Linked DNA regions of Oryzias latipes. The protein of the gene in region 3 interacts with the protein of the main gene of each other region in a pairwise test. Links are inferred from orthologs where the notes say so. Each region holds a gene or a part of one and is shown on either strand. Other genes may lie near its edges. The genes, in order: cytoplasmic FMR1-interacting protein 2, pick1 and fmr1.

What was found.
Region 1: the proteins of fmr1 (region 3) and cytoplasmic FMR1-interacting protein 2 interact in a two-hybrid assay, tested with the Homo sapiens proteins (2 studies listed by BioGRID and IntAct). The link is inferred for Oryzias latipes from reciprocal best matches to the Homo sapiens genes FMR1 and CYFIP2.
Region 2: the proteins of fmr1 (region 3) and pick1 interact in a two-hybrid assay, tested with the Homo sapiens proteins (2 studies listed by BioGRID and IntAct). The link is inferred for Oryzias latipes from reciprocal best matches to the Homo sapiens genes FMR1 and PICK1.

Annotation. Positions count from the first base shown.
Region 1 is NC_019868.2:21,201,176-21,204,830, forward strand, and holds part of cytoplasmic FMR1-interacting protein 2, read left to right. Parts: intron 1-1,270; 5' UTR 1,271-1,303; coding exon 1,304-1,420; intron 1,421-1,624; coding exon 1,625-1,714; intron 1,715-2,514; coding exon 2,515-2,592; intron 2,593-3,042; coding exon 3,043-3,144; intron 3,145-3,254; coding exon 3,255-3,436; intron 3,437-3,548; coding exon 3,549-3,645; intron 3,646-3,655. UniProt on the Homo sapiens protein: Involved in T-cell adhesion and p53/TP53-dependent induction of apoptosis. Does not bind RNA. As component of the WAVE1 complex, required for BDNF-NTRK2 endocytic trafficking and signaling from early endosomes.
Region 2 is NC_019866.2:19,587,622-19,591,376, forward strand, and holds the start of pick1 (PRKCA-binding protein), read right to left. Parts: upstream 2,535-3,755; 5' UTR 2,366-2,534; intron 2,127-2,365; exon of another isoform or gene 2,098-2,126; 5' UTR 2,026-2,097; intron 1,889-2,025; 5' UTR 1,860-1,888; coding exon 1,819-1,859; intron 1,628-1,818; coding exon 1,516-1,627; intron 1,303-1,515; coding exon 1,174-1,302; intron 1-1,173. UniProt on the Homo sapiens protein: Probable adapter protein that bind to and organize the subcellular localization of a variety of membrane proteins containing some PDZ recognition sequence.
Region 3 is NC_019868.2:25,368,145-25,371,899, reverse strand, and holds the start of fmr1 (synaptic functional regulator FMR1), read right to left. Parts: upstream 2,786-3,755; 5' UTR 2,385-2,785; coding exon 2,334-2,384; intron 1-2,333.

The DNA.
Region 1 (3,655 bases), about 4.2 Mb from region 3:
CATACACAGTGAGATAGACAGATCTGTCAACTGTGGAGCTCAGTTTGCAGGGGGGGGGGGGTTATTCAACTAGCTTGAGGTTAGCGCTGTTTGGTAGCACTGAGCATGTTTGTCTGCTGCACAAAAGCCCCGCTTTACTGTTTGTGAGCCTCCAAGCCAGAAGAGTTTGAAAGGAATGAGAGAGTTCTAAGCAGTAAAAACAGTGCGACGATTACGGCATCCAGCCAAAAACAACCAAATCCTAAAAAAAAAAAACAGCGTTTCGACAGAGTTTATCCTAAACTGCAACTATTGAGTGCCAAAAGTGCAGAAACTGTGCTGGATTTCATTTCCCTGTCACACTTGGATCTGGGATTTTCATTTGATTTTTTTTTTTGTGATGTGGATTTTGAACACGCCGGATTGCACAAATGGTCATGTAAAGCCCCCTCTTTTAATATGCAGATGATGAAAACAGAGGTTAAAGTTGTTTTTTTGTGACTAAACTGCAAGCTTCTTGTCTCTTTTCCTGGTGATTCAACCCTCTGATCCTCACCAGCTCCACTTGTGACTTGAATATTAAGCTGCTTATGGGGAGGTTTGCTCTGCCTGCCGGTTTAGATGTAATACATCCATTTCTGAAGGACACAGTGCATGGGGTGGATGCATACAGATTGGGGTTTTATTAAAGTTAGGTTTTGTAAAAAAAAAGACACAGACCGTATCCTGCCTCTCTGTCACTTATTACAGACACACAGATGAGCTAAGCAAGTACTTGTGGACACTTAATGATTTCAGTGGTAACCCAAAAATAGAAAAATACAAAACTTCAGTAGGGTTTTTTTCCAGTATCATCTTTAAGGCTTCTAAGAATCTCCTGCTTTAGTTGTTCCTGGTAATAATTTAAAAAATAACTTCAGTGTCCTGCACTCGGGTGAAGGGAGAAACAATAAAGAAGTGACACATCAAGGCGTTAAAAAATACCTGCTTTACTCTCGACTTAATATTTCAGTCAATCTGTGTAGTTTATAAGTTGAGAAGTTTTATTGTGTAACTTCATAGTTTTGTAGCTTTCTATTAAATAGGGGTGCTAAAATGTCCATTTTGTTTTAAAGATTATCTGAAATTTGATGGCAGGAACACAACAATACGATAAAATAATGTAGACCACCTTATTCCTTGTATTGTAATATATATTTTTAAAATGAATAATACCCAAAAGTATCAGTTTTGCAGGGATTCTCTAAACGTTTTATCTTACATGCTCGCTCTTTCCCTCTGCTCCTTGCAGACCGGGCTGTTTTTTGAGTGACACTTCATTACCATGACGACGCACGTGACGCTGGAAGATGCTCTGTCCAATGTGGACCTGCTGGAAGAGCTGCCCCTGCCAGACCAGCAGCCATGCATCGAGCCCCCTCCCTCCTCCATCATGTACCAGGTACCAACTTGCACGCACTGACCCCCCTCCTCCACCCCCACCATCACCGCGCCCATCTGCTGTCTGCCACAGCTGTTAGGATCCCCTTCAGCTTTTCCCATGTCACTCCTTTCTTTCTTTCTTTCTTTCTTTCTTTCTTTCTTTCTTTCTTTCTTTCTTTCTTTCTTTCTTTCTTTCTTTCTTTCTTTCTTTCTTTCTCTGCAGGCCAACTTTGACACCAACTTTGAAGACAGGAATGCGTTTGTGACGGGCATCGCTCGCTACATAGAGCAAGCCACAGTCCACTCCAGCATGGTGAGACTGCAGCTTCTGCTGCCATGCCAGAAGTCATTTCACTTCCCGTTTCAGCCAACAGAAAGCTGGCCGTAAGCTGCAGCTTCAGCCACTAAAGTGAGGCCTCATTCTGTGTAGACTGGTCATAATTTGACTGCGTCTACAGCACGACTGACACTCTATTTTACACAATTGTTCCACACACTGATGATGAGGCAGAGGAACACTTAACTCTTTCCCCTAAAGGTGAAGGATTGGAATATGGTTGGACTAACGCAGAGGGGAAGTAACGCTTTATTTTGGTGTGTTTTAGCAGGAAGTTTGATTGAGATTTTATTTTGGGAAGAACCACTTTTTAAAAGAGGAAGTGAACTGCTTTTGTCAAAATATTCACCAACTCTTGAAACTGGCAATATATTTAAAGACCCATTCTAAGGGAAATTGTGTTTTTTAAACATGTTCTTGTGGCATTTTACTGATGATGGAGAACATAGAAAAGAAAATGAAGCTCAAAATGGAATTTCTAGTAGTTCTTTATTCAAATCAATCAGGGGCACAAAAAAAAGCCATTTGAAAAAGATCGTATTAGAAACTATATCCTAGAAAACAACACAGATTTTCTATTTTGGCTTAGTATAATTACAATGAACAGACCACTGGGAACGCTTTGAAAATAGGAAGAAAAGATGATCTGAGTGGGTCTTTAAAATGATGGGGTGGCTCCATAAAAATACCAGCCATTTTTTAATCATACAATGTGACATTAAAAAACTTGATTATTTTTTTAAAAATGGACGTTTTTGCTTTTTGTTTCTATTCAGAACGAGATGCTGGAAGAAGGACATGAGTATGCTGTGATGCTTTACACCTGGAGGAGCTGCTCCAGAGCCATTCCTCAGGTTAGTACAACACCAACATAGTCTGTGTCTTCCAAACTGAAGTAGAATCTGCTGATGTACCATAACTGAATATTCCTGTCAAAAAACCCCGTTTGGATTGCTGTCTGAATTTGTTCAGATCAGCATGTGGTTGAACGTATGAAACTGTTAAAGTTGCTGAACATGAAATGTTGGTTTTAACTGGTCAAACCTGACATCTCATGGCAGCTGAAGCTTAGCTGTTCATGTTTTGCTTCTGCTCTGTTGGTTTTGACACCAACTTAAAAGTTTCATGTTTTTTTTCCATCTCTATCTCTTAAATTAACAGAGGTGTAGAGTGAAAACATAATCTATTATTAAATTTCGGTGTTCTGTTTTATATGAAGTTTCATTTTTATTGCTTTTATCAGTGTATAAACTTCATGAATGGCAGTTCTAAACTGTGTGTTGTCGCCATCTTGTGTTGGTTAGGTGAAATGCAACGAGCAGCCCAACAGAGTGGAGATCTATGAGAAAACAGTGGAGGTTCTGGAGCCTGAAGTGACCAAGCTTATGAAGTTCATGTACTTCCAGGCAAGATATTAATTGGAAAAGTGAAGCAAACAATCAACCAACGGATTTCTGATTTAAAAGGGTCAAATTCACTGCAACATGGTAGATTATTTATCTCTCATTTTTCGCAGAGGAAAGCTATAGAACGCTTCTGCAGTGAAGTAAAGCGACTCTGCCACGCTGAGAGAAGGAAAGACTTCGTGTCAGAGGCGTATCTGCTCACCCTGGGAAAATTCATCAACATGTTCGCAGTGCTGGATGAGCTCAAGAATATGAAGTGTAGTGTGAAGAACGATCACTCTGCTTACAAACGGTAGCCAGCAGTCATTTGGTTTACAGTTTTAAAGTAGCTTTGAAAATAAAATAAAAATGTTATTTTTTTTAGAACGAAAAGTAAAAGTTTTCCACTGTCTTCTGCCTTTTAGAGCTGCTCAGTTCTTGAGGAAGATGGCCGACCCTCAGTCCATCCAGGAGTCCCAAAATCTTTCCATGTTTTTAGCAAACCATAACAGGATCACTCAGGTTTGTTTGT
Region 2 (3,755 bases), on a different chromosome or scaffold from region 3:
AACACAGACCCTCTGAACTGATGACATGCTGTCACATGCTGCTTGCTTTTGTTCTGACCTCTTTAGGTCTGCACGGCTGGACAGCAAACCCGTCTGCTGCTCACGGAGGAGGATTTCTACCAACTGCTGGGCTTGAAAAAGTGAGTTTTCTTCCACTTATTTTTCTAGTTTTCTTCACCTCAAAGTGCAGCTTGGAAATGTAAGATTTTTCTAATATTTGCTTGAATCTCGTAAATTTTTTCCAGATAATTTGATTCATTATATATTTGAACTTTTGGTGTGAACAGAAAATTGTAACTGAAATAGATGCTTATTCAGCATAAATGGTTCTATTGCTAATTTGGGTCTGTTGCTTGACTTATTGAACAAAGGGAACTAATAAACTAGCGAAAGGGTCAGAGTTTAGACTGGTTAACATTTACAGACACTTCAGAATGAGAAGAAATTATTTAGATTATTATCTAAATAATATTGAGTCCATTTACAAATGATTTTTTTATCAGCTCAAAGAAAAACCTTTAGAGTTATACACCTCATTTTCAGAAGTTTATTTTTGTACCAAAAAGCAGATAAAATGGAATTCTTTCAAATCTTTTGCTTTTAATGACAATATAATGATCGTACATTGAGGCATAAGTGGTCAAAGACTGTCCAATAGGATGCTGTTTTTCAAGGTTACATTTAATTTCATATTTGTAACGCATCAACAATGATGCAGGTTAACTGCTTCATTTTATTATCCAGCATCCTTAACAGCAAATGGATCTCAACTCAATTTATTAATTGTATTTTTTGCCAAATATCTAATAAATGTTGTTTTTTTTTTTGTTCTTTAGCACTGGCACTCTGAAAACTATCATTTATGTAGGTTGCTTTCAGATTTCTATTTCTGGAAACTCACAGAAAGAGTCTCCAGAAAAGAAAAATATATATATATATATTACATCCATACATCCATATATACATACAGCTATTACTGGATAGTCAATAATGAGGTCAAATAAGCAAGTAAGTAATGAAATAATTTTAAAATAATAATAAAAGTGGCACTGAGGGTGACCCGTTTTCCAAAGTCATACTTTTAAAGCGTTTTTTCAGAGCTGTCATTTTCTGTGTGACATTTGCTTTCTTGATGCGGATTGTTGAGATTAAAAAACATTAGACCTGACATACCTGGACAGCCTGAATCATCTTGGCCACCTCCACCTTCGTTTTCCCCTTCACCGGTTTCCCGTTGACACCAGTGATTTCATCTCCTGCTGCCAGAGTCCCATCCAGAGCTGCTGGGGTGTTATCAAATACCTGTGAGACGATCGATTAGTGAGTCAAATTGAAGCGCTTCAATTTGACTTACAGATCCACAGTTTCTGTTTAGCATAATCCACTGTTAGCTTTAAAAAAAACAACAAACAAACAAACAGACAGAGTAGCATGAAACATAATTTGTTTCTTTCCAAAGGCACTGAATCAAAATTAAAGCATCATTTTAGAGACAACACAGATATCTCCACTCACCTGGACGATATATAGACAAGGACAGTATTGTGCTCCACCTCCTATACTGATGCCAATAAGATTATTAGCATCTTTCTTCAGAGTCACAGTGCCGGGTACTGTGGGGATTCCACTGGAGAGTAGAAAACAAGTCACTAAGTTGTTCCTGGAAACTCAATGGAAAAATCTGTGCTTCTGTCACAACACAAACATCTTCATCCTCATCCTCAGCTCTTGCTTTGAGAACTTTGTCATGTCAGTCTAGTTGGACTCTTCAGAATTTCTAGGATTTTGAATTTAGAAGAATGAAACATAAAGACTCACAGTTTATCCTCTTCCAAGTCATAGTCCATGTCTGTGAACATTACAGGACAGTCACAGCTGACCCCGAAATCTGACAATAGCATAAAAACTGCTGTTATTGCAGGATTACTTTATGAACACGACTACATCAAAATAATTATCGACAATCTAAAATCAACAAAGTCTGTTGTAGCCTTGTGATTAAAAAACAACAAAAAACAAACGCACAAAAACCGTGTGCTGCTGTTAAATACGGTCAGCAGATCTGTTTCTCGTCAGACTGAGAGAAGAGGAGAGAGGCTACAGGGAGGAGAAAGCGGAAACAGCTGGTAATGATGGATACTAAAAGGAATATTCTTAATTGCATATTACCACGTGTTAGAATGGAATCAAATACTTTAAACAGTAATATTTTGGCATAATATTGTTAATTGTTAATCATCAAAGTCGATGACTAAAAAAAATATTGTTACGTTGTCTCATCATAGCCGCTACGCTAGCTCCTAGCCTCCTGGCAGGTGTAGCAGAAATGCCGTTCATTTTATAAACGAGGTAGATTACTACTTACCTTCAAAAAGTCTCGAGTACCTTTTTCTTATATCTGTGTCACAATAGTTTTTGTAATTCTGCTTTCCCCCCTCCTGGATAAACGTTCTGGGCTTGCACTTTTATTGCGATAAATTGTTTTTTACTGACAGTTCCTGTTTACCTTATTTTGTCACTTCCGGATCAGAACGGAAATAGTTGCATGACGGTGCGCAGAGCGCAGTATGAGTACTACCAATGAGTTATATCACTAGAGGAGACACGCCCGCTTTAGAAGCCTGGCCGATGGTGGCGGAGCGCGACGCCATCTTGGTGAGGTCGACGACGCCCACATGACAATGATTTCTATTGCTTTCAGTGGTGTCTAAGTAGCTTTTATATACTATATATATATTTTAACATTTATATATATATATATATATATATATATATATATAGAGATAGATAGATAGATAGATAGATAGATAGATAGATATAGATAGATAGATCATTTGTTGTTGTTAAAGAAGAACAGGCAGCCTTAAAAGCTCAAACTTGAATGAAAATGCATTGTTGCAGGACTTCTTACGAAGAAAAAAATAATTTCAAAGAGTTTTAAAAATATTTTCTAAACATTTAGAAGTTTTAGACCTCTTTGACATGTAATTTAAATTATTTAGAAAAACCCAACAATAAGTCAATAATAATAATAATAATAATAATAATAATAATAATAATAAAATAAATATTCAAAAGAAGTCCAAAAGTGAACAATAGATTTACCCTAAAAAAGCAACAACTACAACAACAAAGAAAAGCAATAGATTTACACTGATTCATGTGAGTGATTAATTTGGTATAACACAGATGGTATGGTGTCGGGTTTCAAGCAAACAGTCTGGCCTCTTATCAAAATGTGTTTCCACAAATGTTTCTAACATAGCCAGACTGTATTGCTAGTTGGTGACCACAGTGATCCATCTGGGTTAGCCCTTTTTATTGCTAAGATCCACTTTTTCCTTTAGTCTGAATCCATTAGAAACCTGCAAGAAAAGTTCAGTCACTGAGTCAGAAATGTATAAATCTATATTACTATAGTAGCCTAGTATGCTGTATACAGGTTTAGCAAAATAAAATGTCCATTTATGTCAACAGCAAATTATACGAACATCATGCAGTATGTTGATAACAGCCCTACAGCATCATGCATGTCAACATGTGTATGATTAATGAAGCCCCTGCAGCATTAAAAGAAAAAAATTATAGTACTTACCTGTGAAATGATATACCTTCCTCCTTCATGGACTCAGTTCTCTGATTTTGGCAGTTGAAACCCGCAAAATTAACTGGTATTATGCAAAAAATGTGTTCACATGCATGCACTGCAGTAGTACCTTGACCTCACCAAGATGGCGGTGCTCTCCTCCCATAAG
Region 3 (3,755 bases):
CACCTGTTGATCAAGAACACATAACTGGGGAAAAGTTCAGACGAGCCTCCAAAGTTTCAATAAAGTGAATACTTTTAAAACGTTTTTATGATATAAAAACGTTCCATAAATTTGATCATTTTTAGGATTATTAAACTTTAAAATGTCTGTTAATGAATTTGAAGATCCCGTCGGGTTGAGCAGCTGCCTGCTGATCAGTCAGCTGAGAGTTCAAATCCCAGGTGGGACAGCCACCGTGTGCTCCATACAACACTTTAGACCCTCAGACATAAGATATCTAAGTGTCTGCAATAAAAATAAACACCTTTGACCATCTTTATGGCTCACATACAGTTTATCACCACGGGAAAAAAAAATTCTTTACCACAAAGACAGCTATGATAAACCTTAAGTACCGAAGAAATCTGTACAAGAAAAAGATGATTCCATGTATAAAACATAAATATGTACATATACATTAGATATTTACTTTAACTGAATACATACATTTAATGATTGAGACCAGTCGTTTTTCTAATAACACAGATATTAAACATATTCCAACACATTCTAGAGAAATACTTTTAAATCACCCAGATACCTTTAAATAAAATCTAACAAAAATATAAGCATTTAAGAGGAGCTGAATCAAACTTTTTTTGTGGTTTCCTTTCTGGGGAAGACTTATTAAAAAAAAAACGTAGATTTTTTTTTTGTCACAAGGTCGTGCGAGCCGCTGCATCCAAACTTAACGTTTCTATCACTAAATTGTTGCCGAACTTTCATGAGGCTGAAATCAGAGAGAATGTTGCTCAACCAGAAGGTCGTAACAGTTTGACGGTCCGATGATCACGCCGCTCGTCACTTTAGGGAACACCATTAGGGATGGGCGATCTCAGTGCCAGTATCTGCAGATATTTGCATAATTTGAGTTTCTCAGTATTGGTCTGATATAAAAAATCTACCGATATTCGCTTGACTGTTTTCAGAAACACTTTATTTTTTAAATGTTTGTTACCAATAGATTGGAAAACTTATGTTTGCTGTCATAGTCAGTAATTGACTGTTTTCAGGTAAATGTAATTTTTGATAGGGATACACGTTGTTCCTATTAGATCCCCGACAGTTATGTCCAATATTCAGTAAATGGTCTGAATGCTTACAGATATATTTTTATGACAATTATAAAGTGATACTTGTTCCTCTAGGATCCTTTGCTGTATGTTAAAAAGGTCAAATGCAATGTGATTGTCCAGTCAAAGAAAAGTGGTACATTTCTAATAAAGAAACAAAAAGAAAATCTAAACTTTGTGTTTCTGTGGACACTTAAGTATCGGCAAATATCGGTTGTCTGTATTGGCACATCCCTAAATACCATTGTTGATGTACAGATTACTACACACACATGAGTCTGTTTATATGACCACAACAATGGGAGAACTGGGAGGGGTTTAGGAAGCTGTAACCATTCGTTCTGACGCGTTTAGGGAACCTGATGATCCAAATAGATTTACATGTTTTATCGACTTTAACTTTTTGTGGGTGTTTTTCCACATCTGTTCTCATTTTGTTAAAATCAGCCGTCCGCATGGTTTTTACGGTTTCCCAATCAAAACATTTAGGTCAACAACAACAAAAAAGCCCTACAGAATAGAGAAATTGCCTTGACTACCATTTATTCGCATTTTTCTATTCTGTTTTTACACATTATTGGATGTAAACGAACAAAAATTAATTGAATTGTGTCCAAGCAAGAATAAAATCGGATTTCGGTGAATTTAGGTTTGACTTTCGTGTATTTAATTCTCAAAAACCAAATGACAACTATTATCTGATGGAAGCTAGTCCTTGAATAATCTGATAATTTAAGAAATCAGATTATTGGTTTTCATTACAATGGGATCAATGAAATAGTGGCCACTATTTGAAAACCTGACAATCCCTGCTTATATGAGCAGTTTCTGTTTGTCTAAACAAATCCCACAACACATTAGCATCCGAACGCAACACTTTGGTACTTTTTTTAAATAGAGACGCCCCACAGACACAAACAAAACAACATTTTTGACCAATATAATCCCTGCATCCGAATAAATTGGATAAATATGAGCAAAAGCAGCTCGGCTTCGCAGATCTCAGGGGTCTGCAGCGACATTAATGTCGTTAAGTCAGCTGCTAGATGGGAGTTTGGCGAAGCATCGCTGCGTCAGTTTTGTTTATTACAGGTACATCCACGGAGGCCCGCGCGCACAAACACGCATCTCCGGGCTTGCTCGGTGGGGCCATTCCGTGTTCGCCCTGTTAGTTCACGGTGCCACAGGCGTGACCAGGGTCGGCAGAAGTTAACCGTTTACCTTGTAAAAGGCCCCGCTCGTTCCTCGGACTTCCACGACCAGCTCCTCCATGACGCAAGTTACCACAGCTCGCTAGCTAGCTAACTCCAGTTAGCAATGGGAGCTAGCTGGCTGGCTAGCTAGCCCGACGCTAGCAGAGTTTTGTCGCTGGTTTCTCTTCCAATACGAATTCCGCGGTCAGCTGGGAGCAAGGAGAGGCAAAGGTAGCTGCTGGTGTCGGTTTTGCACCGCGTGGGGAAATTCACGCGTCCTCCTTTCAGACTCGCGGCGGGGAACGTGTGGAAAATCTAACGCAAATAGATGTCCTGGTTAGCTTGTGGTGGCTGGTTTATGTTAATGTGTGATTAGTAGTAAGGCAGCTGCTGCTGGGTGCATCTCTCCATGTGACGTCTGCGTTTTCTTCCTCTACTGTGATCTCGGCCTGCAGACTCTTCCCGCAGCCTTTGCTGCTCTGTGCGGTTCCTAGAAAAGCCGCTTTGGCACAAACTGATAGTTGAGTTTGTGTCACAGTTTTACTAGTTGATCAGTTAAATTCGGAATTCATCAAAAAAAGGAATGAATTGAACTGTGTTTGGCAAAAAAAATGCCCGGTCGTGTGTATTTATGATAAAACATCAATTCAAAGTGACCTAAGGTTTAATCTTGTGATTTATCATAAATAATTTTCCTGCATTAGCAATTTTTTTTCTTTAGGTATGATGGTTAACTTTTGGATGTCCAAAAATCTGGTCCAATCTGGTTTTTTGTTGACTGCTTCTTTAAAAAGCTGAAATCTTTCATTCATTCAGTCATGCAGTCATCTCCTGAACCGGTTTTGGTCCCTTTCTGGGTCACGGGGCAGCCGGCGTTTATCGTAACAAGGCAGGGGACATCCTGGACAGGTCGCCAGTCTGTCGCAGCGCCACAATCACACACCCATGCACACTCATATTCACACCTAGGGACAATTTAGAGTGACCAATTAACCTATAAAGCATGTTTTTGGACAGTGGGAGGAAGCCGGAGTACCCGGAAAAAACCCACTCATGCACGGGGAGAACATGCAAACTCCACACAGAAAGGTCCCCCCATTGGTGATTCTGTTACAGATCCTCCAGCCGGGACTTGAACCTTCTTGGTGTTAGGCCACTGCGCCACCATGCAGCCCTATTTGATTTACGTTGACTTTAAAAAGTAGATATGCTTTCTTTAGTTCTTCCAACACAGATAGAAGTTACTCAGAATTCAGATTAACAACGGAAACTGGGAAAATTATTTTTGCTAAATGACGAAAAACGAAGCAATCTACACAATTTATGTTTGTGCAGTCTAGTTTATTCTAATGTGGACTGGTCCTGCTTGCGACTCTTCACGATAACTGCGATGACCTTCTAAGTGGCGTTTTTACTTTTCAAGCAGCGCAGTTGTCTCCAGCGTCTATTT